4 linked regions of the Lepisosteus oculatus genome follow. The protein of the gene in region 2 interacts with the protein of the main gene of each other region in a pairwise test. Links are inferred from orthologs where the notes say so. Each region holds a gene or a part of one and is shown on either strand. Other genes may lie near its edges. The genes, in order: pak5, pdlim7, enkd1 and gem.

What was found.
Region 1: the proteins of pdlim7 (region 2) and pak5 interact in a two-hybrid assay, tested with the Homo sapiens proteins (2 studies listed by BioGRID and IntAct). The two-hybrid records come from large-scale screens. The link is inferred for Lepisosteus oculatus from reciprocal best matches to the Homo sapiens genes PDLIM7 and PAK5.
Region 3: the proteins of pdlim7 (region 2) and enkd1 interact in binary tests that used the Homo sapiens proteins (3 or more experiments, as listed by UniProt). The two-hybrid records come from large-scale screens. The link is inferred for Lepisosteus oculatus from reciprocal best matches to the Homo sapiens genes PDLIM7 and ENKD1.
Region 4: the proteins of pdlim7 (region 2) and gem interact in binary tests that used the Homo sapiens proteins (3 or more experiments, as listed by UniProt). The two-hybrid records come from large-scale screens. The link is inferred for Lepisosteus oculatus from reciprocal best matches to the Homo sapiens genes PDLIM7 and GEM.

What each region holds. Positions count from the first base shown.
Region 1 is NC_090697.1:41,985,835-41,993,516, forward strand, and holds the start of pak5 (serine/threonine-protein kinase PAK 5), read right to left. Parts: upstream 3,002-7,682; 5' UTR 2,773-3,001; coding exon 2,757-2,772; intron 1-2,756.
Region 2 is NC_090706.1:37,404,129-37,411,924, reverse strand, and holds the start of pdlim7 (PDZ and LIM domain protein 7), read right to left. Parts: upstream 3,008-7,796; 5' UTR 2,904-3,007; coding exon 2,874-2,903; intron 1-2,873. UniProt on the Homo sapiens protein: May function as a scaffold on which the coordinated assembly of proteins can occur. May play a role as an adapter that, via its PDZ domain, localizes LIM-binding proteins to actin filaments of both skeletal muscle and nonmuscle tissues.
Region 3 is NC_090697.1:65,809,047-65,816,444, forward strand, and holds the start of enkd1 (enkurin domain-containing protein 1), read right to left. Parts: upstream 3,021-7,398; 5' UTR 2,974-3,020; coding exon 2,780-2,973; intron 2,489-2,779; coding exon 2,397-2,488; intron 2,122-2,396; coding exon 1,900-2,121; intron 1,039-1,899; coding exon 866-1,038; intron 670-865; coding exon 544-669; intron 1-543. UniProt on the Homo sapiens protein: Microtubule-binding protein which regulates microtubule organization and stability. Promotes the stability of astral microtubules and facilitates the proper orientation of the mitotic spindle.
Region 4 is NC_090705.1:7,493,813-7,501,132, reverse strand, and holds the start of gem (GTP-binding protein GEM), read left to right. Parts: upstream 1-4,320; 5' UTR 4,321-4,457; intron 4,458-4,954; 5' UTR 4,955-4,958; coding exon 4,959-5,289; intron 5,290-5,538; coding exon 5,539-5,615; intron 5,616-5,920; coding exon 5,921-6,125; intron 6,126-6,772; coding exon 6,773-7,050; 3' UTR 7,051-7,320. UniProt on the Homo sapiens protein: Could be a regulatory protein, possibly participating in receptor-mediated signal transduction at the plasma membrane. Has guanine nucleotide-binding activity but undetectable intrinsic GTPase activity.

The sequences.
Region 1 (7,682 bases), on a different chromosome or scaffold from region 2:
ACATTTCCAAGAGTACTAGACAAGTTCATTTCAGAAGGTAATTCTTTATGTATCAAATGGTGATATAATCTATACACTATCTATAAATAGTACACTATCTATACTGTACATTATACAAGAAAAAGCTGCCTTTATAAAAGTTAAATATAGAAATATTCTATCAATTTTTCAGTAGAACTGGATATGAAGTAACACTATGCTCCTTAGAGGAACAAGTCATTGCCCATGTTGGTTGGTTGTAATGTTGGTCTCAAGTGACTTCACTGGTATAGCTGGTTTACTTTCTAATTAAGGATTATGTTGCCAGTAAGACTTACTAAGAATGGTAGTAACTTCTCAATAGTTTGGTAGATAAACATTGTGGAGTTTTATTTCAGTCAATAATTTTCTTCCACAAATAAAATGTGTCTCTCACAATTATCTGTATCTGAATGTCTGTTACATAAAGCCAACCTGAAAGTCAATGCATACAGTAACTAGTACTAGTAACAGTAATAAACAGTCTTTGAATTAATCTCATGCAGTGCCGTTCTTCAAATAGTATGTAAATCAGGATCATTTCCAGAGTCAGCTGGCTCAGTATCTGACTATCACTGTCAGACTGTGCTAAGAATAAACCAGAAACTTGGCTAGAACAGTCTTGTATGTCTCAGAATTTACAACACACCCGGTTCAATTGGTTAGTTACTACAATGTCAGCAATATAGTAACATTTTATTACTTAAAGGGAGAATAAACCCGTAACATTATGTGAATAAACAAATTTGATTGAATTAGCAAATTATGTAAATACATTTTAGCCTTGACCTTATAAACAAGGCAATGGTGTAGATTTGCTTACCAAATTAAATCAATTTTATGAATATTAACAAAATGTAGAGAATAACAAAATACTTCCTAAATAACCTCTGCTTTTAAAAATTGATTACAAAATTACTCTCATTTTGTGTTCCTTTGCCAAAATTGTTGCACATTAGATTTACGTAAAACTAATGGCATAAGACATGACGTGAGCAAGAAAGTAATATATTACTAATAGTTTAGTACACACAGTACAAAAAACTTAACTTAAAATTAATTTTATCATGATTTCGCACTCTAGAAGACAGCATCATAACATAAATAACACAAATATATTACCTTGAGCACTGAACACTCCCGAACACTGCTTATAATTTGTTTGCTTTTGCATTTGTTTTCATTTTAAGATCTCAACTTTGTACAAATGACTGAGAAGTAACATTGGATCAGCTAAATTTAAAATTACCAGCTGAGCCACTCAAGTGCCTATACCCTTAAAGATGTATCAGAGTCCTAATTTGATGTTACTATTTGCAGATTAGTTTTCTGAATTGGGCTATGTCATTAGCAGATTGCGACCTACAATTCCTCAAGTAGTGACTCCCAGGATTGAGTGAACTTCTGTTAGCTCATGTGGCAGCACAACATGACTTGTCACTTGCCAGGAACTTGCAAGTTTATACTGTTGCCAGCAGAAGCATCATTACTCCAGCAGCTGATGCTCACTCAACTGCAGAGTCCTTATCACAGCTATTCTGGTAGAAGGGTGAGAGCAACCTGAGCTGACTTAATTGACAGCTGCTGATTATATATATAGGAGGGGTAAAACGAATTCAAGATTACATATTGTTTTCATTTAATTTATTACTATTAGCATTGGTAGCAGGAATTACAATTTTTTATGTAATATGTCATTAAAGCTATTGAATGAACAACAGCTATTCTATCCTGATTCCAGTTGTGATAAATATAGCAAATCACATGTTTCTGACATGAGTAGTGAAAAGTTTTATAAGTTATGACTTATTTCTGATTTTTCTTTAAAGAACTATATAATTGGAACATATAAGCAAATGTTGGTTTATGAAATGGTCTTAAGAGGGCACGTTTAGAAAATGACAAAAGCTTCAACAACAATTTATAACATGCCTCAAAAATGTACTAAACAGCCATAGTGAATGTTTCTGTATGCTGACTTTCTATGCCAACAGTACATTTCTAAATATAAGTACAAATAATTTAAATGATATAATTTAACATGCCAGATGGTAGCATATCTTTTGGAATGCAAAATACTAAACTTCCAAGAGTTTTAGCATCAATTATTCATGAGCAGCTCATAGAGAGGAAGAGATCACCAAATAGCAAGTGCTGGGAATTTTAATCTCTCAAGTACAATAATTGCAAATGCATTTAAAAGAGGTGAAATAGCTATATATGCAGTGTTATAAAAATAGGTAAACCAAATAAAGCTAAAATAGTACCAAATACCAATGAACAGTGTGGACCACAGCTATATTCTACTAAATCACAATTTCTATTATTTTATTCTATTCTAATATTAGCATTGCATTGTACTAAGGTACACATGACAATAAACATTAACTTGGTTCTGAAAATTTTAAAAGTATTCAGAAGTTGTAACTTTGAAATTTAATCAATTAGAGCATGAATCTGCAAAACAAATATCTAAATAGACGCAGTTGCTCTCTATGTTGTACTGTATAGTATAGTATATTCTAGTTGTGAAACATATTCTAGTATTACATTCTTAAAGTAAAAGTTGCTAATGTTAGGATTTTCCTCTGTGGTGAGAAGCAAAATATCTATTAGTTAAATATTAAACAGGGGATACCAATATGTTTTGTTGTTGTTTTGGTGATATAAAAACACAAATCTATCAATATACCAAAATGTGCAATATGCTGAATTAACAACACTCAGAAGGTTCTTACCTGGAACATGATTCATTCTGTCATTTATGTAACCACTTCAACAGAGAGCGCTGACTCAGGTGAACCAGTCACAGTATTTTCAAAGGCAATGAGAACTGTGCTCTTGAATTAATCACAAAACATAAAATAAACATTCCTAGGGATTCGTCACAGATATCAAGAGAGTAAAGCTTTATATTGTAGCACTTGCTCTTGCACAGTCTGATAACTTCCAATGGCAATTTATCCACTGCTGCTGACACTAGCAAATTATAACAGACAAAGTAAGCTGTTGCCTTTCCATTGCAGATCTGACTGTGAGTCATGAACCAGTGGGCAGAATACCCACTGTGCACTGCAGAATTACACAAGGACTTTTCTCCCATCAGTTTTGGCCTTCAGTCATTCCCACTGACCATTTCTCTTGAATGAAAAAGTTCCCACTGCAACTTAAATCCGTCACAACTTGGTTTACACGGATCTTTCAGTCAACACAATATACTGTAGTGTATACAGCAGAAAATACAGTATTTGGCTTGTTGGCTGCGAGAACATAAATTAGCATGACCTCATGATGACAGTATAATTCATTACTAATTGTAGCAGAAGAGCAGTGCACCTGCTTCAGTCAATAACCCTGTAAGGATTTTATTGTTAATGGATTTAACCTAATGTAACTCTCTAGTGGGCACAGTGTTTTGCCTGAAGGCCGGACAAATTGACTTTAACTCTTTTTCACCAACTCAAAATCTTGCTTCAAACATGACTCTTATTAAAATCTTATTAAAATCAACAATGATGTAAATCACAACCCATTCTCTCACACCTATATTATAACATTGAATTATTTTGATAGGGTATGACATTAAAAGATGGTATAGCCCTAAAACATAGTATAGCTTTGCATACTAAAATAATACAACCTGCAGAAGGTCATATCTGAATGATGGACTCCAGTTAGCTAAAAATCTACACAGAAATAAGACATTTGAACTAGAATGGAAGGACCCAAAGAAAATCTCAAGGGTGATGCACATGTAATAGAATAAAGAAAGAACAGAACATAAGATTGTTCATCTTTGGTCTAACATACAGTATGTGAAAAGACCGACCCCAATAATCAGATACCTTCTCCTGTATTCTGTACCTATTTATGGAAAAGAAAAATCAACCACATCTTCAGCAGGTCTCTCTATTGAACCCACATGCAAAGCCTGTATTACTTTCTCTCTAACCAGGGATTGCAAACATATGCCCAGCTGGGCTGATTCAACCTGCCAAGCCCATTTATCTCATCCATTTAGTTTTTTCAGTCTAAGCTAACAGCTGGGATTAAATTTCTTTGTCTGAGCCTAAAAAGCCCACATACAAAGCAGCTGCCCTTGGTGATGCATCGGTCTTACTTATACATGTGCTGTGGTCAGTGCTCTTTTCATTCTCAACACTCCCATTTATGTTCACACATCTAGTTAGAACAGGAATATTTTTTGCACTAAATAGTTATGAAAAAAAAGACCCGAAACCTGTACACCACTTCACCTCATTCAAAATCTAAAGCAACCTCAAGCAACCTCAGTGACTGAACTACAAATGGTCTCACTGACATTAAACCTTCTGTTTTTGTTTATGTCAAAATGAGATTTTTCAATATAATAGAAGGGCCATATAAATGCTTTATTGGAGAAATATTGTTATGTGGTTCAGGATAAATTGAGTAATTTATATTGTTTCTTAGAATAGAAATGAGTGATTGATTTGTACAGGGAGCTGTTGCCAAAGAGAAATAGCAATAGTTGTAAAGTAGAACTTTTGCTGTTTTTATATAGCTGACATCTAGCATCTAGTATCCTGCATTGTGTTTTTCCTCACACAAAGTCTCTTTTAACCCTGCTTTTTGCCAATTCCATTTCCTTGTTTAAATCTCTACAAAAACTGTGCCAAATGGAAAACAAGCCAAGCTGCTTCTGACTTATCACAGCTACTGTGTTATTACTTTCTCCAAAAAGTTTTAAGGTGATGTTGATCACTAAACATACCATACTCAGAGCCCAATAATTACATTTTTTTAAAAGTGACATTATTAAGTAAGTTAAGAAGTTAAGAAGCAATGGCTGTTGACTGCATTTTAACAGGAGGTATTTTGTTTTATAATAAACATAAACATACAAAACAATTCAAATATAAAGTAAGGTGCCTTGTATTTAGATAAAATATCCATCTTGAAGTACAATTACATCAAACCTGTCCTAATGTAGCAAACAAATATGAAATCCCTGCTCTAAATTCTTTTATGCCATTAACCTCAAAATGATAAGGAAATGTCAAAGAATCTGCTACTCCATTACAATAGCAAACACGAACCACCTCTTTATATAGAGTGAATTGACCACAGAAAACTCTACAGCACTATCTGAATGATTCCGTAAAGACCCTTTAAGACACAGTCCTATGTTCCTGGATGAGTAAGACAGCCTGCCTAAAGCTGTAACTAAAAACAAATATGCCAAAATCCATTCTGTCATTTACATTTTTTAAAGCATTTCTTGATATGTAATTTCTTACTTGACACGTGTACTACAAAATTCATAACTGATTGTTCTTAATTTGATATCATATACTGTTCAGTTGACTGCTAATATTACATTAAAAAAATCTTAGACCTTGCCTCCAGATAATGATAAAAGAATATTGCTCATTGATAGGCTTTATCAGTGATAGGCTTTATCACACCATTTATAATTTTTCAGTTTTAAGACTAAATCGGCTACTCTTGCTGAATATTTTAGTAATATAATTACAAATAAAAAGAACAAAATATACATCAAACCAGAAAATGGAATGTGCTACAGTAAAAATACAAATAGTTGCTCTTTTAAAACATAATTGCATGAAATCAACACCATTGTCTTCTGCATTTGGAGGGAAAAACAGAATATTGTAAAAAAAATGTTTTAATATAAATGTTGATCCACATAACAAATTACCCTAATATACCATAGAAGAAAGGTATCTAATCTCTCAATAAAATAATATAAATTGTTATTATAAAAAGAAACACAAAAGTAATGCTGTATGTACAGTAGTTCATGGTCTACTTTTAAAAAAGAAACTTCAGAACAGCTGGGAGCTAGGCAGCATCTGCCAGATGTACTTAACCAGCAGCTAATAAAGCCGTGAAAACTGATTTACCACTTCACCATTTCACTACTATCATAAATTTAAATATATTAAGCATCCACTGTATTGAAGAAACATGCTTTAAAAAGAAAAGAGCAAGGCCTACTAATTCATCTAAAGCACGAAGCTTAATGTACAGAAATAGTGGGGTGAAGATCAATGCTTTATTGCGCTATAGACCAGTCTTTTATGGAAAGAATGCTTTAAATGTACTTCAGCAGGGGTTTCATTTACAATTATTATCAACAAATTCAACACGAACAAATTATGTAAGAAGCTTCAGTTAATAAACCAGAATACAAATTCAACAAAAAATGAGATAGAAAAGGGAAAGAGGAGAGAATTACATCACCATCCAAAAATATGGATCTTTACAGTTGGCCCTGACATTTTCCATTGTATATTCTGGACAATTAAATGATTTGCAACAGCATGATATGTACCGTATGATAGTCACCATTTATATTTTAATGCTGTACCTGTCGTATTTAAATTTTTGGCTTGGTTCTTTATTTCCTTTGCTTGCATCTCAAACATACAAAGTTTGCTAACTAGCTATCTCCCTAGCTCAGCTGCACATTTCCTTATGCTTAAGTGAAAAGGTCGTGCATCTTATTTGATGCATCTTATAATACATCTTGTGAGAGGTACTCTGCGTTAAAACACGGTGGGTGTAGAGCAATATATCGCATCATACCGCATCATACTGCATGATACTTGATACTTGATACTTGAAATATGATAACAGTATCCGGAAGAACCTTGTAAAACCACCAGGTGGAGCTAATAAAGCTTAACCTCTCATGTACAGTATTTGAGCTGTCACATGTCAAATAATAATAATAATAATAATTGCTTACACTTATATAGCTTTTCTGGACACTCCACTCAAAGCGCTTTACAGGTAATGGGGACTCCCTTCCACCACCACCAATGTGCAGCATCCATCTGGATGATGCAACAGCAGCCATAGTGCGCCAGAACGCTCACTACACATCAGCTATTAGTGGGGAGGAGAGCAGTGATGAAGCCAGTTCATAGATGGGGATTATTAGGAGGCCATGTTTGGTAAGGGCCAATGGGAAATTTTTGGCCAGGACGCTGGGGTTACACCCCTACTCTTTTTGAGAAACGCCCTGGGATTTTTAATGACCACACAGAGTTAGGACCTCGGTTTTAAGTCTCATCCGAAGGACGGCGCCTGTTTACAGTATAGTGTCCCTGTCACTTTACTGGGGCATTAGGACCCACATGGACCGCAGGGTGAGCGCCCCCTGTTGGCCCCACTAACACCTCTTCCAGCAGCAACCTTAGTTTTTCCCAGGAGGTCTCCTATCGAGGTACTGACCAGGCTCACACCTGCTTAGCTTCAGTGGGTTGCCAGTTGTGAGTTGCAGGGTGATATGGCTGCTGGATGGTTGTTGCTTGGGGACAATCTTTTTCCAATTAAGAATTTAAGTTGTATACTCTTTAGACTTTTAATAATTTTAAACTGTGTATTACAGCATGTTAATCATTAAACATTAAAAAGTTGGTATATTTTATAAAAGCAAGATTGCTCAGTTGGACAAAAGTACACAACCTTCCACATTCATCATAAATACTTTAATTATGCATAAATAGTTTATGCATCAAAGTCTTTAACTTGGTAACTTACTGTACATGGATTCTGGTTTTAATGAGCTTGTTCTTAATATAACATTAATAAGCTTATATTCTGTACTTCATAAAAAGTTATAACATTTTATCCTTTTCTAAGAATACGTAGAA
Region 2 (7,796 bases):
CTGGTTTTCTTACCTGGCTGATTGTGTTCTGAAGCTGAACCCAGAATGTGCTTACAAAGTTTTCTTACAGGTCCCAGACAATCTCCGACTAAGTATTTAGGAAATTAATATATAAATTGATTTCATTAGCATGTGCCTCCTTAAAACAGCTCCTATTATCCCTACAAATTCAACTGATATACAGCCGAACGTTCAAGAGGTTGTGCTTGAGATTTGCAACGTTCCTTGAAAAACTAGGACTGCTCTCTGACCCCGTTTTCTTCAATTACTTGATCCTGCAAAATGTACATATAAATTTGCATTTGAAACTTCACACAGATGTGATACTACACAAGAAAAAGACTCAAGTTAGCCTTTGTGTCGATCCTGATCTTCATTAGAATACGTTGGCAAAGCCCAAATCAGCAGACTGCAGCAAGTTCAATTCACAGGGGACAGGAGTTAGCATTGACGTACAGTAGAATACTTTCAAAAAGCAGACAAGCCACAAAGTTCTGGATATAACGAGCCCTTTTAGAATATCATACAAACATCCCCATATTTAAGGAATTACGGTAGTCTGATCAAATAAAGGCGAGTTTCAATATTTCAGCATCAGACGGGTAGAACAAGGGTCTTAACTGATCAATGTTATGCAGATGGAAGAACAATACCCTGCAACATTCCTAGCATGAGTGTCAAATAACACAGTCCAATGTACACAATTCCTTTCAAATATAAATGGCTAATTCAACAGTAGTATATATATATATCACATGGCAAAACCCTCTTTCAACAAAGGCTTCATAAAGGTCAGACAAAAAAAAAAAAGACATCCAAAGGATTTAGCACAATTACATCTTATATTTTTATAAGCAGTAAGCCGTTATATGAAAAGCAATTTTCGTCTTCTCACTACAGAATGGTGCAACTAATGCCAAGAGTACCACCAGCTGAACACCAACATGCACACACACCCACAACACAGTACATGGTCCAGATCAAAAACTCATTGGAACTGCCCTCTACACGAGAGAAATTCTGTAGCTGAGCCTTAAAACCTACAATACTCACCGCAACTCCAGCTGACTTTTCTGACACACTTCTGCAGTCACTATGCTAGTGTGTTAAACCATGAAAACCTTTCCTCATATGTGTCAAACTCAGAAAACTGTGAGCGAGGGTAGGTCAGGAGAGTGAAGGTTTGTAAAATACACTATTGGCATGTAGCATGGTAGTGTTTCTTGACCATGTTACAGAGATCTGATTAGCTGTCGGGCTCAGGGAAACGCATTGATTTTCACTTAACCTCAGTAATGTAGAACCAAAAATGTGAGAAGAGCTTTGACCACTGAGGACAAGGCATTCAGCGATGTTTACGAGGTAGAAGGGACCTCCCATATATCCAAGAATAAATTCTACATTCCTACATTTTTAGGATATAATAAAAAAAAACCTCTGGTCTGAAAATTACAAATGAAAACTGTACAGGCAGCTGTATGGAGTAGAGGTTGATGCTCTGTGTTTACAGCAATATAATGTATATGGATTTCAAGGCTAGGTGAGGCACTACTGTACTTATAAAGTAAACATCAGCAAAGTACACCCCTCAAATTACACCAGTAAAATACCTCACTGTATAAATGGGTACGTTAAAAAACTGTGAGGCGGATAAATGACCAAAATCAGGTTAGCATACCTGCATATACCAAGATCTATTTCAGAACAGAATGCCATTCACAGAATTCGCAATATCTTTCCAAGATAAAGCATTACACAAAATAACGCTGATCTATACAATACAGAAAGAGATTCTCTTTTCAGAGGGCACTAACGCTAAAAAAACACCTGCCCTGTCCTAAGGTGATAATGCAATTCCAAGTTCGTTAGTGAAGTTTTACATTGCTCGGTTCGGACAACAATGAAAGTGTTGTCACGTTTCATATATTGAATCTGTAGGACTTTAGATCTTTATTTTTGATCGACGTCACCATAAAAACACTAATGCACTTTTTTTGGTAGGGGGGTGACAATTATATACAGTACCATCTATTCCTTTTCATACATCTTAACCACAGCAATATAGATACTAAACAAAACCACATCACTTACAGCCCCCCCCAAAAAAAGACATTAACAAATAATATCGGTGACCTGACGAGTGTTTGATCATTTCAGGTTAAATGTTGACCCAAGCAAATAGCTAAGCAATTCTTGAAACGATAGAGGAGATCTCGATTAATACATAACGTTTGCTTGCTGGCATGCAATCAGAAATTGACACTTTTCTTGTCACATTAAAACTATTTGAATAATATTCAAAATGATATCAGTGCGTTTATTTTGGGACAATGTGTGCACCAACTTAAAAAAAACGCAGCATAACTTAACATCCACGAACATGAAATATCCGCTCTTTTAGCACTTGAAAAAAATGCTAAGTGCACGATCTTGATTCGCCTTTACACGAACGGATTCACAGCCAGCTTACAAAAGGAAACTCTCAAGAAGCTTTCGTGATCACAAATCTCGACCCACCCAAATTATCCACGCAGCGTTGCTCAGACTTGCAAAGATCGCGTTTGATTACTTAGGTCTAAACGCAAAAAAACCGCAGATAACGTCCTTATGAAAACACATCTCGTCTGTGCAGAAGGATTCAATCTCTGAGCACCCTGCCCTATAAAATTTAAAAGAACAATTTACAAAAAGTTGAATTAGGAAAAGAGTGGACCACTCCCTCTTCTCCGCCTCCAAACGCCAACGCCAAACAAAACTTCCATTAAAAAACTTTTACTGTATAGATATTACCAGAGCCATGTAAACGTTTTTTATGAGAACAGAACACAAATATTGTGTAACTCGCAAAAGCAATCGTGTTATATGGCAGTTACCTCCGGAGCCTCTTTCTGGCTGGCGGACATCGTTAACGATCTTTTTTTTTTATCTTTGCACTTTAAAAAAGTTAATTACTATGTGCTAAGTTTTCCTTGTAAGCCAGTCCAACTGTATCCACGAGCAGCCGTAAACTTGCCTTCTGTTTCCTTTTATAGACAAGGAAAAACCTACAGCCCGGGTGACGTCATTGGGAGCGCTGCCACGAATTCTCCGCGCTCCATCTACAGGTACAAGCTGGCATGGGACTGCGATGCGCTGCGCGGTGCTGCGCTCTCCCATCTCGCCGCTCAACACACACGTCTGACCTGCAGCCAGCTCGTCTTTACAACTAAGCACCTAGATCGTTTTGCTCGACGAATCCCAGCTGCGGAATAAAAGTGGTGTATAATTTGCAGCGCTCGACTTTTCCATGACCCCCCATGCTAATCATCGACTTGAGAGTGCTGGTTTTATGATGTCCCTGAACCCAGCTGAAATGTCATGTTGGCATTTTATTTTAGCTTTCGGGATCCCAGTTGATTTCTGTAGTGTTAGCAAATGTTTGTTTTGGGTTTTTTGCTAACAATACAGAACGTTTTTACATTTACAATTTACAGTAAATTTAAAATTCTTTGAATGTCTTCAAACCCAAACCACGTTGACCCACGTTTATTCTGTACGAACCCGAATGCTCTTGTTTACTTTTCTCTTTTACTTTTTATTGTGCTTTTCTTTATCACTATGTACAGCACCCTGGGGTTTGGAAAGGCGCTATATAAATAAATGATGTATTACTGTTAGTCTTGATCTTCCATCATTTCTGTATAATAACATGACACCCTAACCAATTCAACTCCACTGCTGTTTGGCAAGAGCAGCGTTGACCACAATACTTCAGTCACTGCAATACAAAAGACAATACGGTGCTCTGGAATCAGTCCAGAAAAGAGCAACCACGCACATTCCTGTGGTTCAGGGAACTGTCCCTCCCTGACAGGCTGAAGGAACTGAATCTTCTTAGTCTTGAACAGAGAAGAAGGAACAATGTGATTCACAAATTTTGAGCCCCCAAAGACCACGACAAAGCCAACCCAACAGACGTCTTCAGAAGCAAGAGGGGAGTATTTGAATATAAGGACACCGGTAGGAATTATTGGAAAGTTCATGTCACTGAAGCCGACGAAGACCCTGGCTTATTTCACAAAGCAGTCGGATGTGATCCTCCAACCAGCAGCCAAGCAAGTTAGACTGGTTGAATGGCCGCCTTTCTTTTCCTTTGTTATGTTCTTGTGATACAATACCAGTGTGCGCAGGGAGAAGCTAGTTACAGTATGAATCCACAACCTTAATCACTATCCTCTGCCACTAGTTCATTATGTAACTTCTTTTAAAGGTGCTTATGTATTTTATGCATACAGAATCATTCCTATAAAAATTCCGAAGCGTGCTTTTTTTAGATACAGCTTTCCTCATCACTTGCCAGAAAGCCCTCCCAGGTAACAAACATTTGTCAGTTATCCGACAGTGAACAGAAGACTACTTTGGGTGAAATGCAGCTCTATGTTTTCTTTTGCTGCCTTGAGTTAAACTCCAGTGAAGTCTGTTTTTTTTTTGTTCTTAAAAAATGTACCTAGAAAATAAAATTGAGCATCCATTTTTTGCCAGATTATTTCCTCCTCATGTTCATCAACTAAAATACCTAATATTATCAGAGTTCAAATCAATCTATAGTGTACTGTATTTACTAACACCACTGCCTCTTTGATATAAAATAAATTAATGAGCTGTTTGCTACAACAAAACATCAAACACATTTCAGCTTCACTAATGAAAAAGCAACAGAAACAATCAGATTCTTCCTTGGGCCAAAAACATGTTAAAATCTGGAACGAATCGGTTCCGAACGAACGAACCGCAGAAAATAAAACCCAAGAAAAATCAAGTCACACTTTGGAATTCCCAGATTTATTTCAAATCAAGATTTTGAAATGTTTCTTTGAACCAGGAATTGCTTGATCTTTGTTTATGTGCTGAACACAGGTCTTTGATCTGAAGAATGCTTTATCAGACAGGAAAACTATTCAATACAGGTCTAGCGGAGTTCTTTTTCTGTGCGCTAGAAAGTGCCCATATAAGGAGATCACAGATCTAAAAAGCTGCAGGAATGAATCTACCTAATTATCACTAACCTGAAGCATGGAACAAGCCGGCTCTCTGAAAAGGAAATGTTTATGTAGATTTAAGCATGGCTGCCAAGAAAAGACAAACAATGTAGAATTTAAAAAAAATCTCAGGAATCACTACACTATATAGTTCTCCACTTGGTGCGTCCAAAGGAACAATTGTTATTCCATGCTAGAAACGTAGTGTTGTAGGAAAACTGTTTGCATAATTCTTAATATTTAGGGCAGCATTGTGGCATAGTGTTTGTTATTGCTGGCTTTTCACACTAGAGTCCTGTGTTCAATTCCAGACCTGGGGTGCTATCTGTGTGGAGTTTGTATGTTCCCCCTCCGGGTGCTGCAGTCTTCTCCCACAATCCAAACACATACTGGTAGATTCATTGACTTCTGGGAAATTTAGCCATAGGTGTGATTCCGCACTGCCTTTTGCCTTTGCACTGAAACTGAAAATGCTGCCACAGCTGAATTTTGCACACAGCTGCTATCTAAACGCTGGTTGAAATTATTGCTGCTGTGCTGTTGCTTTCTCCAAGAATTGTGACGTCATCCTTTTTGTCAATTTTGGGGATAAATGGTAACATCCTTTGATGCCTTTCATGGAAGCAAGTACAAATCCTGGTTATGGACAATTACTGTTCTTTATGACCCAGTGGAGGTATGCTGCATAAAAAAACAACAGTGTCGTGAACAACAGAGCTAAGTGCTCCAGGCTCAGGTCTAGGGACCAAAGCACTCTGTGAGAGACCTGAACATTTCCGAGCTCCTTAGAAGGCACTCCAACAGATCCAGCTGTAGGGTGCAGTCAATTCTTCCATCCCTGGTTAACTATAGGGTCCCAATGCCCTCCTGCACACCCACGATCAAGATGATGAGAGTAGACGAGAGAGCTGTTAGCTTGATGCGCTTTACAGAAGCGACTTAACCTGCGAATGATAGGTTTAAATAAACAGGGCTCCGAGTAACCTATGCAACTGAACTGCATTCTAGATTATAGCGGCTGCCGTGCAACAAAAATTAACCATTGTTCAACTTTCTACTTTTTTTAGAATCAAAACATTAAAATGTGCAGCAACGGAGAGGATTCCCAGTGTTCTGAAAAAATTATAACGAATGGCATCTTTATTTTGTATAAGTTGTATTCAATTAGTTTCAACAATCTTCACCCCAAGCTAGTTCCTGTAGGTATAGGGCAATAAACTGTTCAAAAAGAAAACCGATCATTTCAACTGGGAGTACACTTGAACTTAAGGTCGTTCACTATTTCTGAATTCTAAATGCACTCACAATTTGAAACGCAGTGTTGTTGAATTTTTAGCATCTTATATAAAACCCATTCTAACATGTTAAATCAATAGAGACAAAAATTCAGCGGTTTCATCATGGCCAATAGACAAATCAAACCTTGGCTTCGCTGTTTGACATGACTAGAGACATCTAGAACATCTGCTTATTGTTTCCTATTCATAGCTCAGCGGGTACCTTTAGGATACGGTATTTTATTTCTGTAACAGCGGGCTAAACATAAGACATATCTCGTGTATGCCTTCATGTACTTGTTAAAAGAAAGAAATGAAAAGTATTTAATGTAGATTTATGTACATGACTATTTTCAGAACAACTTAATTCAGTACAAAAACGCCCAGAGGCTCTGGGCTCTATATGACTGTAACAAAATCAAGATCAATAGTTTGCGGAACTTCATTTTTTTGTACATTTTGTATTGTGCTGTCTCCATCTCCTGGCTACCGGGAGTAATGCAGAAGAGGAGATCACTTTACCATCGCCAGAACTAAAAACATCGGGTGTTTGAAAGAATGTCACCCTTAGATTATTTCCGTGTATTGGAATATTACTTTCTGTATTCGATACAAAATATACAAAATTAATCTCCAGCCCCTCCAGTTATTGAAGTTAAAAGAGGAGGCGTGAGATGGTGTTGTTCTGAATTTGTTGAAACGTGAATTTCTGCGTGGTGGAGGTTCCAGCTACTTTTCCAAACCTACCCCGCTTATATGAATGAATTACCTCCAGACACTCCTTTAATGTCTTACCATTCCTAACAGCGCTCTTTCCCGTTGCCCCAGTGAAACAGAAGGACTTTCAGTCCAACCCTGCTAAACAGCTCCCTCTGTTGTGTATGTCGTTTCTCTTTTTGCTCGTTTACAGTTGCTCCTGCCTCGATGATTTTAAATGTCAGTAAATATTGGGAAGACACTTTTTTTCTTACGAAACTTGGGCAAGTACGCGCCTCTCAGTAATCCTGGCTGTAATGTAAAACATGTTGGCGTATGCTTTGGGATTTTAACAGGCCAGAAATGTGCTACCACAGGGTTATTAACCAAAATGCTTCAAGTAACAGCAGTCCTTCGGTATTCATAATTTTGATTAATATGTATAGACTCTATTAGAAAGAGGAAAATGTTAATAACTAACAACGATGATTAAAGCGAAGTGATTAAAGGGTGAGCTCATTGATTGTTTATTCATGTAGAGACAGGTTTAAAAGTCTAATAACATATTGACTTCCATTGATTGTGTAAGCTCAACATTAATCTGATCTAATTCCAAACTTCCAGCCAGACGAATTCAAAGCACATCAACTCCACTCAATTCCACATCTTTGCTTGGAAGTGCTTCAGAATCCTGATGTTTCCTGGCGATAAGCCACATCCGGCCTAAATATATTTAGAGTGTAAGTGTTGAGTTTCATTAATCTCACAATTATTGCCAATAAACTATTCATATTCGCTAACACCA
Region 3 (7,398 bases), on a different chromosome or scaffold from region 2:
CCCCTGAGTGGCTCACCCATTACAAGCACCTGCTGGAGGCACAGCTGAGCCTCATCTCGCAGTCTTCTCCGGCCTAGTCTGTCATAAGCCAAGTGAGACCGGAACTCACAGTTGGCTAGGTGCTGCTGGCATTCGGCCGGTAACCGCAGCTTGCAAAGAATCTGTGATCTCTGGGTCCTCCCAGAAACCTGGGGGCTGGCAGTGAGAAATGTAGTGCCCCTGCAATCACCCCTCCAGAAAAACACTATGTAGCTCACAGTGCACCAGGAGGCCAAGACCAGTGAGTGAGCACATTCCTCTCTCATCGGAAATGCAGAATGTGCAGCTGATCATAACTGAAATTCGACATAAGTAAAATCATTTACAAAATGCACATATTTGCTTTATCTGCTTCAGTTTGTACAAGAGCCTGCAGCTGGTAAAACCAGGAGTGGATCCGACTGTGAAGCAGACCCCTGCACACAAAGGGATAGATACACAGAAAAAGAAGACACTCCGCGGCCCTCCTCTCTGTTCTCCAGACCCTGCCTCCCCCTCCCTAACCTCAGCATCCGCGTCAAGGGTGGGGGGCCCAGGGGAGGGGCTGCGCCGTGGGGCTCCTGCACTTCCACAGCGCGAGTGAGCCTTCAGGAAGTTCTGGCACTCGGACCTCTTGGGGGGCGTCGTCTCCTGGGAAAGACGGGGATGAAATGTGAAATGTCCATTTCGCAGAGAGTGACAGAAGAATCGTTGCCCTGTTAAGTGGCCGGTACAGAGCGCCGCCGTATTGAGCTGAGCAGTCCCTGGAGCAGGGAGTTTCTCTGGGAGTTTCCGAGCCCCCAAGCTTCTGTTAACCAACAGTGCTGTCCTGCACCACCAGCCTCACCTGCAGCTGGGTCATGACCTTGGACGGCACTGCCTCGTATTTTGGGGACCTCCACAGCGCCTTGACGGGCACAGGCCGGGCGCCCTCTTTCTCGGCCTCTCGCTCCCTGCAGCGGCGCTGGATCTCGCGCAGTCGCCGCACGTTCTCCTTGCCGTGATCCCGCGGCTCCTTCTCTGAAGACACCACAGAACGCACACGTGGGCTCGGGATTTAGGACGAAGCACTTCTATACCCGGCCTGAAACACTCATTGCAGTGCGACGCCGGCCCTCCAATTGTTTTGAAACAGAAATGATTAAGACAGCACAATTCCAATATAAAACCGTACCAGATGACAATTCGTTTTTACACAGACTCTGCTATTAACTCATCCATCCATTCTTCCATTTTCTATGGAGGCAAGATACACCCTGGGCAGGACGCCAGTCCATCGCAGGGCACACATACACAGACACGCACACACTCACACCAGGGCCAGGCAAACTCGCCAGCATGTCTTTGCATGCAGCATGAGGAAACCAGAGCACCCAGAGGAAGCCCACATGAACCCTGGAAGAACCACTGCGCTACTGTGGCACCTGCTATTAACTCGTACTGCACAATTTGCATTAGACGCTTACTTGTTTCCCTAACTCCTTCTATAACAATATATACACTCAATAATCAAAATATTGGAAAACCCCACCCGATTATACGGCATCCCATTCTGAAAAGCAAGGACAGCCTGCAGCACATATTCCTCAGGAAATATCAGGAAATATTTCCAGCCCAATCACATCCCATTCTTCCAGCAAGATCATTTTTATTTGCGATGATGATTAAGATTTGTAGGGCCAGCATATCAGTAAACCTGTATTTCCAAGAGGAAGTGAGATCTGGGCATTGTTCTGGTTAGGGGGTTAGGGATCGTGATGGGAATACTTCTCCTGCTCCTCAAGCCTCACGCTGACCATTCACACGAATCGGGGCTTCCAACACTTTGACAAGTGTGTCGGATCTGATAAACAGGATATCAGAGGGAGGGAGTTTATTTACTGTGTTTTGGGGGATCTGGGTGCAGAGAGACCCCTTCCAGCTGCAGCAGATTTCCAACGACCCCTCGCTGACCCCTCTCGAGGATGTGCATGGCGTTGGGGTGCACTCGGGGGGGAGGAGGGGGGCGTGCGCTGTAGCAGCCAGGGTGCAGCGAAGGGTCAGGGGCTAGAGGGCCGGACAGAAAGGTCAACTTCAGGTCATTCCCCTCTAGCCTGCCTCGCGCTGTCAACAGAGAGCAAGAGAAACACAGAGATTATAACCACAGTTCGCATAAGTACAGGTGTAATAACCAATTACTGCATATTCCAATGTGAGTGAGCTAAGTCAAGACAAAGAGGTTGAGGAAGAGGAGGAGGATGGAGGCACAGAAAGATGTTTAATGACTGATGAATTATGGGACGGCCACACATGAACTAGGGAAGCACACAGACTCAGGCGAATCCGATGTGAGTAGACGGTCACTCAAGTCCCCAAGACTGGACTAGATAGTGTCTTACCAGAGGCCGGACGTCTGTAAAACTCAGGGAAGAGGGTGGGATCGGGAGGGATCGGTCCAGAGATCCGTGATGGGCCTTCACACATCGTCCCACTGCTCGGGACAAAGCCAGAGAAAATCCACTATCAGGGCATGGCCTGAAATCCCCAGCTACAATTCCTGCATCATTCCCGAGCTTAAGGCACGAGCAGTGCCAGGAGATCTTTCTGAGACTTGGGCCTGCAATTCTTCTTTCTGCTATCATACAGACAAAACACAAGTCCTTCTGAGCCCTGAAAGTAATGTGTTAATATTTACAACATGCCCGATTTCCACATAATACTGTGAATGGCTAACCTTTGAAGATAAATGCACTAATTTAAGTAAGTGGGGGATGCCACAAACCCTGGCTGCTGCCCTGTATAGTGGAGAGACCCCAGGTTCAGGGTCACACAGTGACAATCTGACACACACATATCCCCGGACACACGTGGCCATGCTTCGACTGGCTCAGACATACTCCCACGCTGAAGTGCCAGTCGGGGCACAGCTATAAAAAGAAAATATTCAAGTAACAGACAAGATAACACATCAGGCATGTTGTACTAAATCAGACTAAATGTGGTGTCAAATCATACCGGCTAAAAAAATCTAAAGACACAGAAAACATTGTAGAGACTGTTCTGGATGCGTTTCATTTTTAAGGCTGGATTACTGAAGGTTTATAAAGTAGTATTATGGATTTCAAGCTGAGCACAGGACACACTTTACGCAAAGGGTGGTGGGAGAGTGGAACAAGCTGCTCAGCCATGTGGTTGAAACCGATACCTTCTTTCAATAAACAGCTGGATGAGATCCTTGGATCAATCCGTCACTCACTACCAAACAGGCCACATTATTAATAATAATAACATCACTTTATTAACCCTCTACAATTTCTTGCATTAGAAATTATCTTTTTGCATACCCCAGCTTGCTCTCCATGAGACACACAGATAGGGAGAGAGTCTGGGGTGACCTCCTGTAGTTTGTAAACTTTATGTTCTTATGTTTTATACCTCAGGCGTATTCTAACGTTATACTTTAATTCTGACAGTAATTGTTTTTAAATGGATGTTACCACCCTTACTAATGATACATAATCATTTTAGTAGCAGTAATAGTTATAATAGGAACAGTCGTATAATTCAGTTTATACCTGTATGCGAGACTCGCAGTTTATAACTCTCTTCTGTCTTAGACACGAACAACTATAAACTCACCCAGGTGGACTCAGAACAGTAACAGTACAATACTGACTCCAGAATGAGTCATGGGAGACCGCAGCAAATACGATACGTGATATTTGTTATCAGTAAGAATTGCAATTGCTTTGAAAAGAGATGTGGGATTTAAAAGGTGAAATTGACATCAGTCCTGTTCCGCACACCCCCACAGACGATTTTTTTCACGTTTCTTGTGCACGAAAGTGAAACCGCCGAAACACACTGCAACCGGCACGGTATCATTTGGAGACGACCAGCGAGCAACCGGACAGGAGAGCCGGTTGACTGTGGACAAGACACAGACATCGACGAATGAAATTTAAAAATGATGCGAGGCTCTGTCACTGCACATAAAGGTTAACAGCCATCATATCAGTGGTCATTAATCTATAACGTTTTAAAATACACGCCTCTCAGAAAACGCGTGACATTTTACCGAACTTGCGGCCAGAACATGTTAACTTTTTGGCGACATAAAATTAGCAAAACAACAGGAGTCAGAATCAATATAAAGAGGAATCGCTCCCTATTTGTAAACGCTTTTTAGCCAAACAGCGCTTTTTCGTTAATTATTTAAATCAAAATAAGCTTTACTGCATTACCGTTTCTTTATCCTTAAACTCAACAGAAAAACCGTCTTCTTCTGCAACGCAATTTGATGACATCACCCCGCTTCATCTCCCAAGCGGAGCAAGCCTCACCATGGCAACAGCACGACATCTGGTGACGTAGTACGTCACGCCATTGTAGGCGTGCTTGGCATATCCTTGAGACGGAGCTTGAGGCGCTGCAGTCCAACCGGTTCTGTGTGCGCCTTCAATGTTCAATGTGCTAATCTCTTACCGTGTACCGGATCTAAGTACCGTGTCTACGGAAAGAGCTTCGAAAATGACCATTTTAAAAATGTAAGGAAAGAAATTATGAAAATAAGTGAATAACAATAAAGCTGTGCATGTATTATAGTCTCTTAGTGTGACTATAGTGGTGCTGTATTTCATCGTGGGTGGGTCTACTCGTTATGAGGCTCTCCGTCGCTAAACGGTATATTAAGCTGTAAATGTTACTCTAATCTCGTATTGTATCCTGAAATCAACCTCACCTTGTAACACGAGGCTCTTACTCTGCTACACTCTTACTTTAACCTCGTTTCACAACTTCACAACTTTCCGGTACCTTTGACACTAACCCTTATTATAACACGTTTTGGATAGATACCTCATTGATCCCGTGAGGGACATCGCAGTGCAACAGCAGCTTAACGCAGACAACACAGCAACAGTGTAACGAATGATACAACACACGCAATACAATCAGTACAGTGAGCAGTGCACCAAGAAGAGTTACTCACAGTCCAGAACATACAAGACACAAAAGTTCACAAAAATTGAATTGCACAATATAAATATAAATATAAACGTATTGCACAAGCCCCTGGCATATATTGCACAAAAAACGGTTGTAAACAGGAAGAACCAGATGTAGCAGTTTGCTGTCCAGTCCAGAAACAGGTCACTGTCAATGTTGCCCCTGCCCAGACGCAAAGTGGATGCGAATTGTTTTGATGTTAGTGCAACGTTTAGCGTAACATTATCAGTACGGTGCCGTAGCCCCTCGCTGTAAACTGGTTTTTCTGCAGTAGTTCGACTGTACTTCACACAGATCCCCTTTGTAACCCGTTTTATTCTGCAGTAGTCTGACTACTTTATACAGATTCTCACTGAAACCTATTTTTTCTGCGGTAGTTCCACTGTACTTTCACAGGACTTTCCACAGTTCCACTGTGCATGGATCCCTGTGTCTCAGTAATAGTGTCAGAAGACACTGTGTACCCGTTGGTTGCGCTGTCCTTCACATGAGTATAACATATAAAATAAGTCCTGGCTGCTTGCTCATGAAAGATGATGGGTGCTACCCCCCAGTGCGCTGGTTAAATCGTGCTATGGGTTTCAACAGACTGCCCCCCCCCTAAATGTCTCCCTCAATCCGATGGGAGGAGGTAATTACCCCAATCAGCCGTGTAGTGGGGCTGATGGCGGCTTCAGGCAGGCAGGCAGAGAGAGAGGGGGATATCACGAGTTTATCTGGGGAAGACAAGCTGAAAAGTTTATGCAGACAAGCCGCTCACTGAAGCCCAAATCATTATGGATTCCTGCATGAATCCCACCTACGGATGAAATCTCTGAAGGGATTCTGCCCTCAAACTCTTAAAACGTTTTGCCCGTCTGAGTGTGTATTTGCAGGTGTGTCTGTCAGCATACTGGCCTCGTTTGTCAGACGCCTTGTCTGCTACGCTGCTCCCTATTTTCCCAGCGTCCCTTACCCTCTCCTCCGAGCTCGAAGTGTGTGTGTGTGAGAGAGAGAGAGAGCCGGCGTGTGTCGCGCCTGCTCAGTTTCTGTGGCTGGGTTTCTCCTTCACAGTGCCCTCCTCTCTCACACACTGACAGATCTGCTGCGCGCCGCGCCTCACATCCCGCAACTGAATAACGGTAAGACACCGGCCGGCCCCGGAGCTGGCCCTGGGCCACAGCACCGGCAACAGGGTGGGGGAGAGCGGGACACAGGGCCGGTGAGCGCCGGCCGGGGTGCGAGCCCCGAGGAGGAAGAGGCTTGACCGCCGGGGCCTTTGTGCTCGTCTAAGCGAGTCTCGCCGGCCTACGTGCTGGTTGCGTGGTGCGTCGGATTTCACTTTCAAAATCTGCCGTGGAAGTTTGTGGGTCTGTCCTGACGCGTTACAGCTAACCTTTATTAACCTCAGTGCAGGGGAAGGGTGTTCTTTCTCTTGTTTTTTTTTTTAAACTTAAGTTGTATCATTACGCTTCTTGAAGGGAGGAGGGTTGGTTTCTGAATGACAGCAGTGCGTTGGGGGTCACAGAAGCTGTAGGTGATCCGATTCGTGATATCATTATAGCTACAATTATACAAGACATTGCTGTAGCTTTGCTACATATCAATCGGTTGGGGAAGTTTATATTCTGTAGTGTTTTTTTCATTAATGAATAATACTGATATATTATTACACGTGTTTAATAAGCTGCTGCTGCTATTGTTTAACCACACAATCTAAAACGAATAATACATGGTAGTTCGATATGTGCCTAGCATGCATTTAGGGGCACTTGTTGCCTGCTAATTAAAATTCAGATATAGTTCGGTGTTGTACAAATACGTACAGTATTTATTTAAGTGGGTATATGACAAATTGCATATTTAATGATACGGGGTTGAAGCCTTAATTCTCTCTTATCCTGGGGGAACACTTTGAAATATAAATGCCTATAACGCTGTGTTTTTTTGTGCTGGGAAGGGAAAGTGAAACATTAAAGGCTTGTGAAGCAGACACGACCCTGTATAGCTGGGAGTGAACTAACGCCTACAGTACAGCATGAATCCTCGCACGTTTCCACAGAGCAGAGCTCCGTCTCGCCGCTGGACACTGCCAGCGATCCTTGAGTCCACATCGACGCAACTCCGTAAAGGCGTGATTTCGTTTTACTGATCGGGGTTTCTCGTGTACGTTTTCAGAAAAAGAAGAAAAAAAAACGTTTAGTGTTACGGTTCATCGAAACACACAATGGAAGCTTCCACATTCGCTTGTACCCACGGAACAGTGCTCGCGCGTGCCCTGGAGCGTGGACGACGCCAGATCCGACTTCACGTCTAGTACGATTCCCCGGGTGTGGAAGTACGGGACACGGTTCATGTTCCGGGCGTTTTAACACTGCACACTTGCTCGCACAGAGACAGGGAGGGTGCGGTTAG
Region 4 (7,320 bases), on a different chromosome or scaffold from region 2:
TCGTCTAAAAGACTGAGCCTCAGGATGGGTCACCTCTGTGAGTGCCTACTGTATCTCTAACGGGTAAAAAATATGATAGAATATTATCTAATAGAAAGCAGCCATCTGTAATATCTTTCAAATATGGCTCTCCAGAGACTTGTTAAAACCATTTAAATATGTTTTTTCACAGATATTTCAATGGCAAATAAACATTTGGGTTCATTTGTCTTTTTTGTTAAAATACGATGTTACAGGGCTTACACGCTATAACAGTTCAGGTCCCGGTTGTTGTAGTATATAACATGTTTATGCATATAAAATAGTACCGAAGATGCCAAAAGTGATTCTTCAGTTTCAATTTCCACAATTAACAATAACAATCCACTTAACAGTAAGGAAGAAAACCTACACAACCCCCATCCTTAGACCTACTTAAAGACTCATAGATTCCCATCGCGGTCCTACTGACACAATACTATTTAATTGCCAAGGTCTTCAACTTCTCTGACTGCACCTGAATTTACTGTCCATTGTGGAGAATGGTAGCCTAATGGAAACCTTGATATATTTTCTCTGGGGGAGAGACCACTGTAAAAGTGACTGAAATAAGATAACCGCAAATCGATAGTCTGCGGAGTTGAGACATCACCTGTCATTTCACAGATCTCCTTTCACTGTGCTGCAGGAACATACTGTAGTAGTTTTAGGGCTGCAATTTCAAAAACCGATTAAGTACAGGAAAATATTTATTATAAAATCTAGTATCATAACAGCTGGTTGGCAGCAGTTGGTGTAGTGTACAGTATGTATGCAGTACATGGTGTATTTCATTCAGAGACTGTAGTGTTGATTCTGGGGATACGATCCACGCTGGGCAGACACTTGGCTAAGGCTCGCATGCTACACAAAATTCAAATTTAAGGTGGGGAATAACTGAGATGAGCTTGAAATTATGTGAATTTTTTCACTGTCTTGTTCCCCACTAGGAAAAAAAGGTGTTTTTTTATAATTTTGCATTGGTTTTTGTAGTTAAACTAAACCTGTATTTTTTTTTTCTTTTAATGGAAGCACTGGTTACAATTTCCTTTCTGAAGCACAGCACCTTTTCCATACCTCCACCTTGGTGCTACGGTAGCTTATAGGTTTCCTCATATTCGAATTGTCTCTTATTTCAGCTGTGGCCTCCAGCCATGGCCTATTTTAAAAGTCTCCGCCGGTTTAATCTGATTTATCAGTGCCAGGAAATAGGCTGAAGCTTGTGCCACACGAGGTGCTGAATGCATTCTGACAGCATGCATGGATTTTATTTTCTCTTGACAGCGTTTGAAAAATGCATTCGCTTTTTTAACTTGTATCACCTTTCGCTAAGAAGCTTCAAAGAGAGGCAAGTGTTAATTGCAGTTCATTTGTCCACAGCAATCGATGAGCTCTCCCCTGGGTGTGGCTGTTTGTTAGGATACAATAAATGATTCGGCTGGGTATTACTCTCATTTAATCTATGATATCCCATATTCCATTTTCAATAATTCATTGCTGGTCATGTTTTCCAATGAAAAGCCACTTACACTAGCAGCTTAAATGAATGTTAATAAAGCAACGTAAACGATGATCTGTCAGTCTATGTAGTAGCCAGTGGTGAGTTGTTAATTTTACTTTCATTCCTTTCATATTTCCTTTCATATTTGTTTTTATTTTAATGCACATTATTCAGAAAAGTCTTCCATTTCTGGATGACATCTGTATGTTTTGTCACGAGTATAGTTTCAGCCATGCAGACACTTCAGAGTTTATCCTTGTACCTTCAACCCCAAAATGTACAGTGACAGCTGACAAATTCCCAAAAAATAATTTCAAAAACTGCTTTTCAGCAAGATGGAGGTAAAAAACACTAGATCTGTTGTTTCAAAACATACTAGATAATTTAAAAGAGAACTGTCATGAATACTGTTGAAACACAATTCATTGTTCTTAATCTAAACATTTCTCCCCGTTTGACAGCATGCAACTGTTAACAAAATAATGAACTGACCTCCAGGTTAAGATGTTTTTTGGACCAGATTCAGCATAACCCAAAGTGACCTACCCGCTAGTGGAAATAGCTTAATGTATCATCTATTTAGAAAGTCTTTTAATACATGTCTTATTCAACTCAATCTCAAACTAATCACCTTAATTAACATTTAAGGACCTTAATATAACCAGCTTACTCTAGAGTGATCTCTTGATTATGGTTCCAGACAGAAATAGCCAAAGATGACCAACCCCTTTGCAGTGAGGTATTTGTGATTAAGTAATTGGCACACTGGCTAAATGAAAAATCTTAAAACATTATGTCATTATGGGACAACAAAAGTAAAATACATCAAAAGAAATATATTCTAAATCATTTAGTCATTTTTAAAATGTAATTTCAGGCACATTGTGTATTTTTAAAAATGATAAAGACGAAGACATTTTTCTCTTGCCATCCTTGTGTTTGAAAAAAGAGACTCGGGGTAACTGAAGTCACACCTTTACCAAGTTATATTTAAAAAAGGCAAACTAAAAATAAAACCAATATGATAAACATGATCACATTTTACCAAAAAAATGCATTGACAAAACCTTACATACAACTATTATTTGTCTCTACCAACAATACAAGAAATGTTCGTATAAATAGAAATAAAGCCTGATGGACTTCTCTCACAAAATAAATTTGACACAAAATATATTCAGTTCTTTCAGCTTGTGAGTGTAAGATACTGTAGATCTGTACTTCAGACTGATTCCACATAAGCAATGGCTTTTTTAAAACACGGTGGCCAAACTTGTACAAGATCTTCGTACAAGGTCTTGCTAATTGTTCCATTTTAACATGGCATTCCTTGATTGAACTATATACCCTATGTGTCTTCTGTACGTCCTTTGTATTGCTTCCGCACACTGGCTAATGGAAAGCAATGTGTCAACCTAAATGCTTACGTTTACTTTGATAGGTACATTTTTCAACATCCTCCCCAGGAGCTGCAGTCACTGGGTCTGCACCTGCTCGTTCTGTCTGCTCGTTGGACGAAGATAATCACAGGGTATAGTCCCTTGCTCCTTCAGAGTCCCCAGCTCCTGTACATGTAAGGTACGTATCTCTCTTGCAGTGTTTCTGCACTGTAGGAGAATAGAATCTCCCACGACCACCACTGTTTGCCTTGTGCTTTCCCGGATGCTTCTGGGATAGGCGCTGACTCCCCCTACAACCCTGTCTTGGATAAAGCGATCCGAAGTAGGATGGATGGCTGGGTGGTAGTTAAGTTAGTGTAACGCATACGGCCGACATTGCAGGTCGTGCGAGACCGGCTTACCAGCGCGGTGACGTTACCACCCTTCCCTGTGAAAAGCAGGGACCGCAGCTGTCGGGCTGAGGGGAGATTTCCCTTTGCCTCAACTGCCTGGGTCCCTGTTGAGTCATGCCGGCGGCCCGGGTTCGAGTCCCCAGCGGTGGGGGGCTGACCCGAGGCGGCAGCGGCGAGGGCGCATACCCACGTTAACCCCGAGAGTGCTACATTAACATGGCGTGCATAACTTAAGAGAAGTTAAGTCAGTATATAATTAATTTGGTCACACTTTAGTTTAGGGGCTGTGGAATTACACGTTAGAAACGAATAGTCCAGCAGTTAATACATTTTCTAGTGACTCTGGATTGAAGAGGTAGAAACAGATGGATGGATGAATGGTTAGGACCGTATAATTGCCTAAACCTGTCAATAACACATGCGGTTATTTAGTCGTAAATTGCATCTCATACTTTATCCTGGGATCTTTTGCCTTGAACTTCCAAATCCTAACTGCCCTGTTTCCAGGTACTGGAGTTGAGTAAATAAATCTGGTGATGTGATATTATGGCTCAGTGTTAGGAAATATTGTCCTGTTCTTCATCCTGTGACACATATGTGACAAACTCTATAAGATTGTCTTACAGCTTATTAGCACTAAAGCTACTTCTATTTCTGCATGAAAATGAGTGTTTTGTCAGTGGTATTCTAGCTCGGATTTATGTATGGCCTACAGCGACAAGCACTGGGAATGGATATTTATTTGGGCCAATCCGAATGTGAATCTAAAAAAAAATTCCATAGATAATGGAATGTCGTCGTGCTTTCGAGCGATAGACGTTTGTCGTATCGTAGCCACCCTTTCAAGTAACAGCAACAGTATGTTCTAGGCGAAATTCCAAGTTCATCCACAAGACTAGAGGAAACCCTCTCCGTCTTTGTTTCACTGTTGTCTGGCTGGTAAGCGAAGGGAGAATGACGTCACGGAAAAGCCCTCGTCTTTGACCCCTACTACTATATATAAACCCAAAGAGCTGAAAGCACATTAGTGGGAAGCAGAGAATCTACTGGGATTTACAGCCCAGCGCACAGATCACGAAACCCAGGCAGAAACACCGTCGAACAATCAAGTGGTTCTGGAGTTTGCGCTGCTCCTAACTGGATAATGTAAGATATGTTTTTATTTTGGGGGAAAAAAGTAAAGGAAACTACAATGCAATTATTATTCTATTCTGCATGTTTTGTTCCAGTATTTTGTATTGCATCTTCGAGTTAATAACCGGGTTTAGATGCTTAAAGAACTTTGTATTTGGGAAATCTTACAGCTTAGACACAGTTTTAATTATACGTTTTTATTGCAGCGATCATGGTTATTTTTTGTTTTATAGACATTCTTATTGTTATTCTCTAACAGTGAGTAATTTTGATACATTTTTAATTAATAAAAATCAAGGCTTCTGAGGGGTGCGTGCACGTCTCCTTGTTTTTAAGATTTAAAGTTGCAAAGAGATGACATGGCTGTAGAAGGTAAATTCAGTGATCAACAATGTGGAGTGTTATTTTTTCAAAGACATTACATCTTTTTTTTTTACGGGAAAAAATGCATTAAGAAACTCTTTTATTCCATATTTTTGTAATTCCGTTGCTTTCCCCCCGTGCTTCAGAAAGATGACCCTTCACGTAACCATGAGACACAGCAGTGGCTGTCTGCAGCCCCAGCAGCACCGCTGGAGTATCTCCACCGACGGCAAGCATCTCCTCAGCAAGAGCTCGGCGCTTCAATCCGGCGTCTGCCGCTCCAAGTCCTACACCAGCGCCGGCGAGTCGTGCAGGGGCAGCTGGTCGTCGGACTCCTCGGACTCGGTCATCTCCACCGACTCCTGCGCCAGCCTGTTCAGAGTGGTGCTCATCGGCGAGGACGGAGTCGGGAAGTCGGCGCTCGCCGGCATTTTCACGGGCGCCCAGGACAGCATGGACAGCGACTGCGACCTGAGCGGAGGTCATTGTTTTTATCAGCGTTGTTTTCCCGTGCAATGGGGCTTGTATCTTTAAACGGGTGCGGGGTTATTAAATTATTCACGTTCGTTTTAAACAAGCCAGTCGATCTTATATGTGAACAACACCCTATTATTTTATTTTTGACATATTTTTTGTGTGTGAAGGAGATTAAATATTTTACAGCTTTATTCGTATAACTTGAACGCACGGACCCACGTAAACCGTTTTAACGTCTTTTTGTTATTTATAGAAGACACATATGAACAAACGCTGACAGTGGACGGCGAATGTGCGACAATCATTTTATTGGACACCTGGGACACTCAGGTAAGATAATAAAGCATAGCATATAACATAAAATACGATATATCCTACCCATGCTATTTTCACTGTGTGATGTGCAGGTGTTTTTTTTAAGCATTGTTATTTGCATCTTGCCCATTTTATATACCGTCTATTTTATCATGCATAAATGAGTTATTTTCCTTTGTATCGTTTTTACAAGAGTAGTATGCGAAAGCGAAAGCTTCAGTTTTGGCCATTTTAAAACTTTAAAAACAAACCATTAAATCCATGTTTTCTGATCGCTCGGAGTCTTGCTGTTTCTGAACGTCTGTGCTGTGCTTCTGCAGGACAGGGGCAGCTGGAGTCAGGAACAGTGCATGCAGGTGGGAGACGCGTACCTCATCGTGTACTCAATTACCGACCGCTCCAGCTTCGAGAGAGCTTCTGAGCTGCGAATCCAGCTGCGCAGAGCGAGGCAGATGGAAGACATCCCCATCATTTTAGTGGGCAACAAGAGCGACCTTGTGCGGTGCAGAGAGGTCTCAGTGGCAGGTAAGGTCTCTCCCTGTAACATTTTGAAATCCCCTAAAGGGGGTTGATGTTTTTTTAGAAGGAGCGTGTAATCACAGCAAGACCCTGTGAACTTTAATAAATACCTCTGATGCCGTAAGATGATAAAATAACGTCATACGATAAATTTATGGAGCAATATGACAGAACGAGACCCAAACTTAACGCAGAGGTTTTATTTTGTTTTCGACGGTGAGCGCTTGTGGCGGAGAGGAGAAATGAGATTTGCACCCAAACTAGCTTTTGCAAAAAAAAAAACAGATCAATAATAGTCTTTAGGAGTCCCATAAGAGTAAAAACTGAAATCTCTATGTATTCTCTGTATGGAAATGTCACATACTGGTGCCATATGCCTGCATACACATTTTAATAATTAAAATCTGGCTAAATAAGAAGATAACTTTGAAATGTAATTATTCAACAGAACACTAAGCAATAGGTAATTTGGTTCTGTGCTGCAGAGAACTGATAATGAATGATTAAGACAGTATAATTACTGTACCTAAAGCTGTACATAAATCATAACCTGCATCTCATACCTAATAGTTATATCAGGAGTTGAAAGTGTTTGGTTCTGTTTTATTCTTGTTGAAGGTGACACTTACATTTACTTGGATATTTTTTTGCAGAGGGCAGAGCCTGCGCAGTAGTATTCGACTGTAAGTTCATCGAGACTTCGGCGGCAGTGCAGCACAATGTCCGAGAGATGTTCGAAGGGATCGTGCGACAGGTTCGGCTTAGGAGGGACAGTAAGGAGGCCAACGAGAGGCGGATGGCTCGCAATAAGAGGAGGGAGAGTCTTCCCAGGAAAGCCAAGAGATTCCTGGACAGAATGGTGGCTAAGAACAATAAGAACATGGCTTACAGGCTGAAATCCAAGTCTTGCCACGATCTTTCAGTGTTATAAACCCACTGGCGGGCTTTCCATCTCAAGGACTTTATAAGTCACAAGTCAATCTACATTAGATTGCGTTACAAAACTCCAGAACAGAGGGTGTGACAGATCAGCTCTGATCTACCGCTCCTGTTCCTCTGTCTGTAACAGATGGAAGAATTGCTTGGAGATATTCGTTCACGTACAAGAGGGTATTGAGTAACAGGTAATAGAGAGACTGACTCTAGAGGGCTGCAGAGAGTCCTCCTGGTCTGTTTTCTTTATTAAAATTAAAATGAAAAT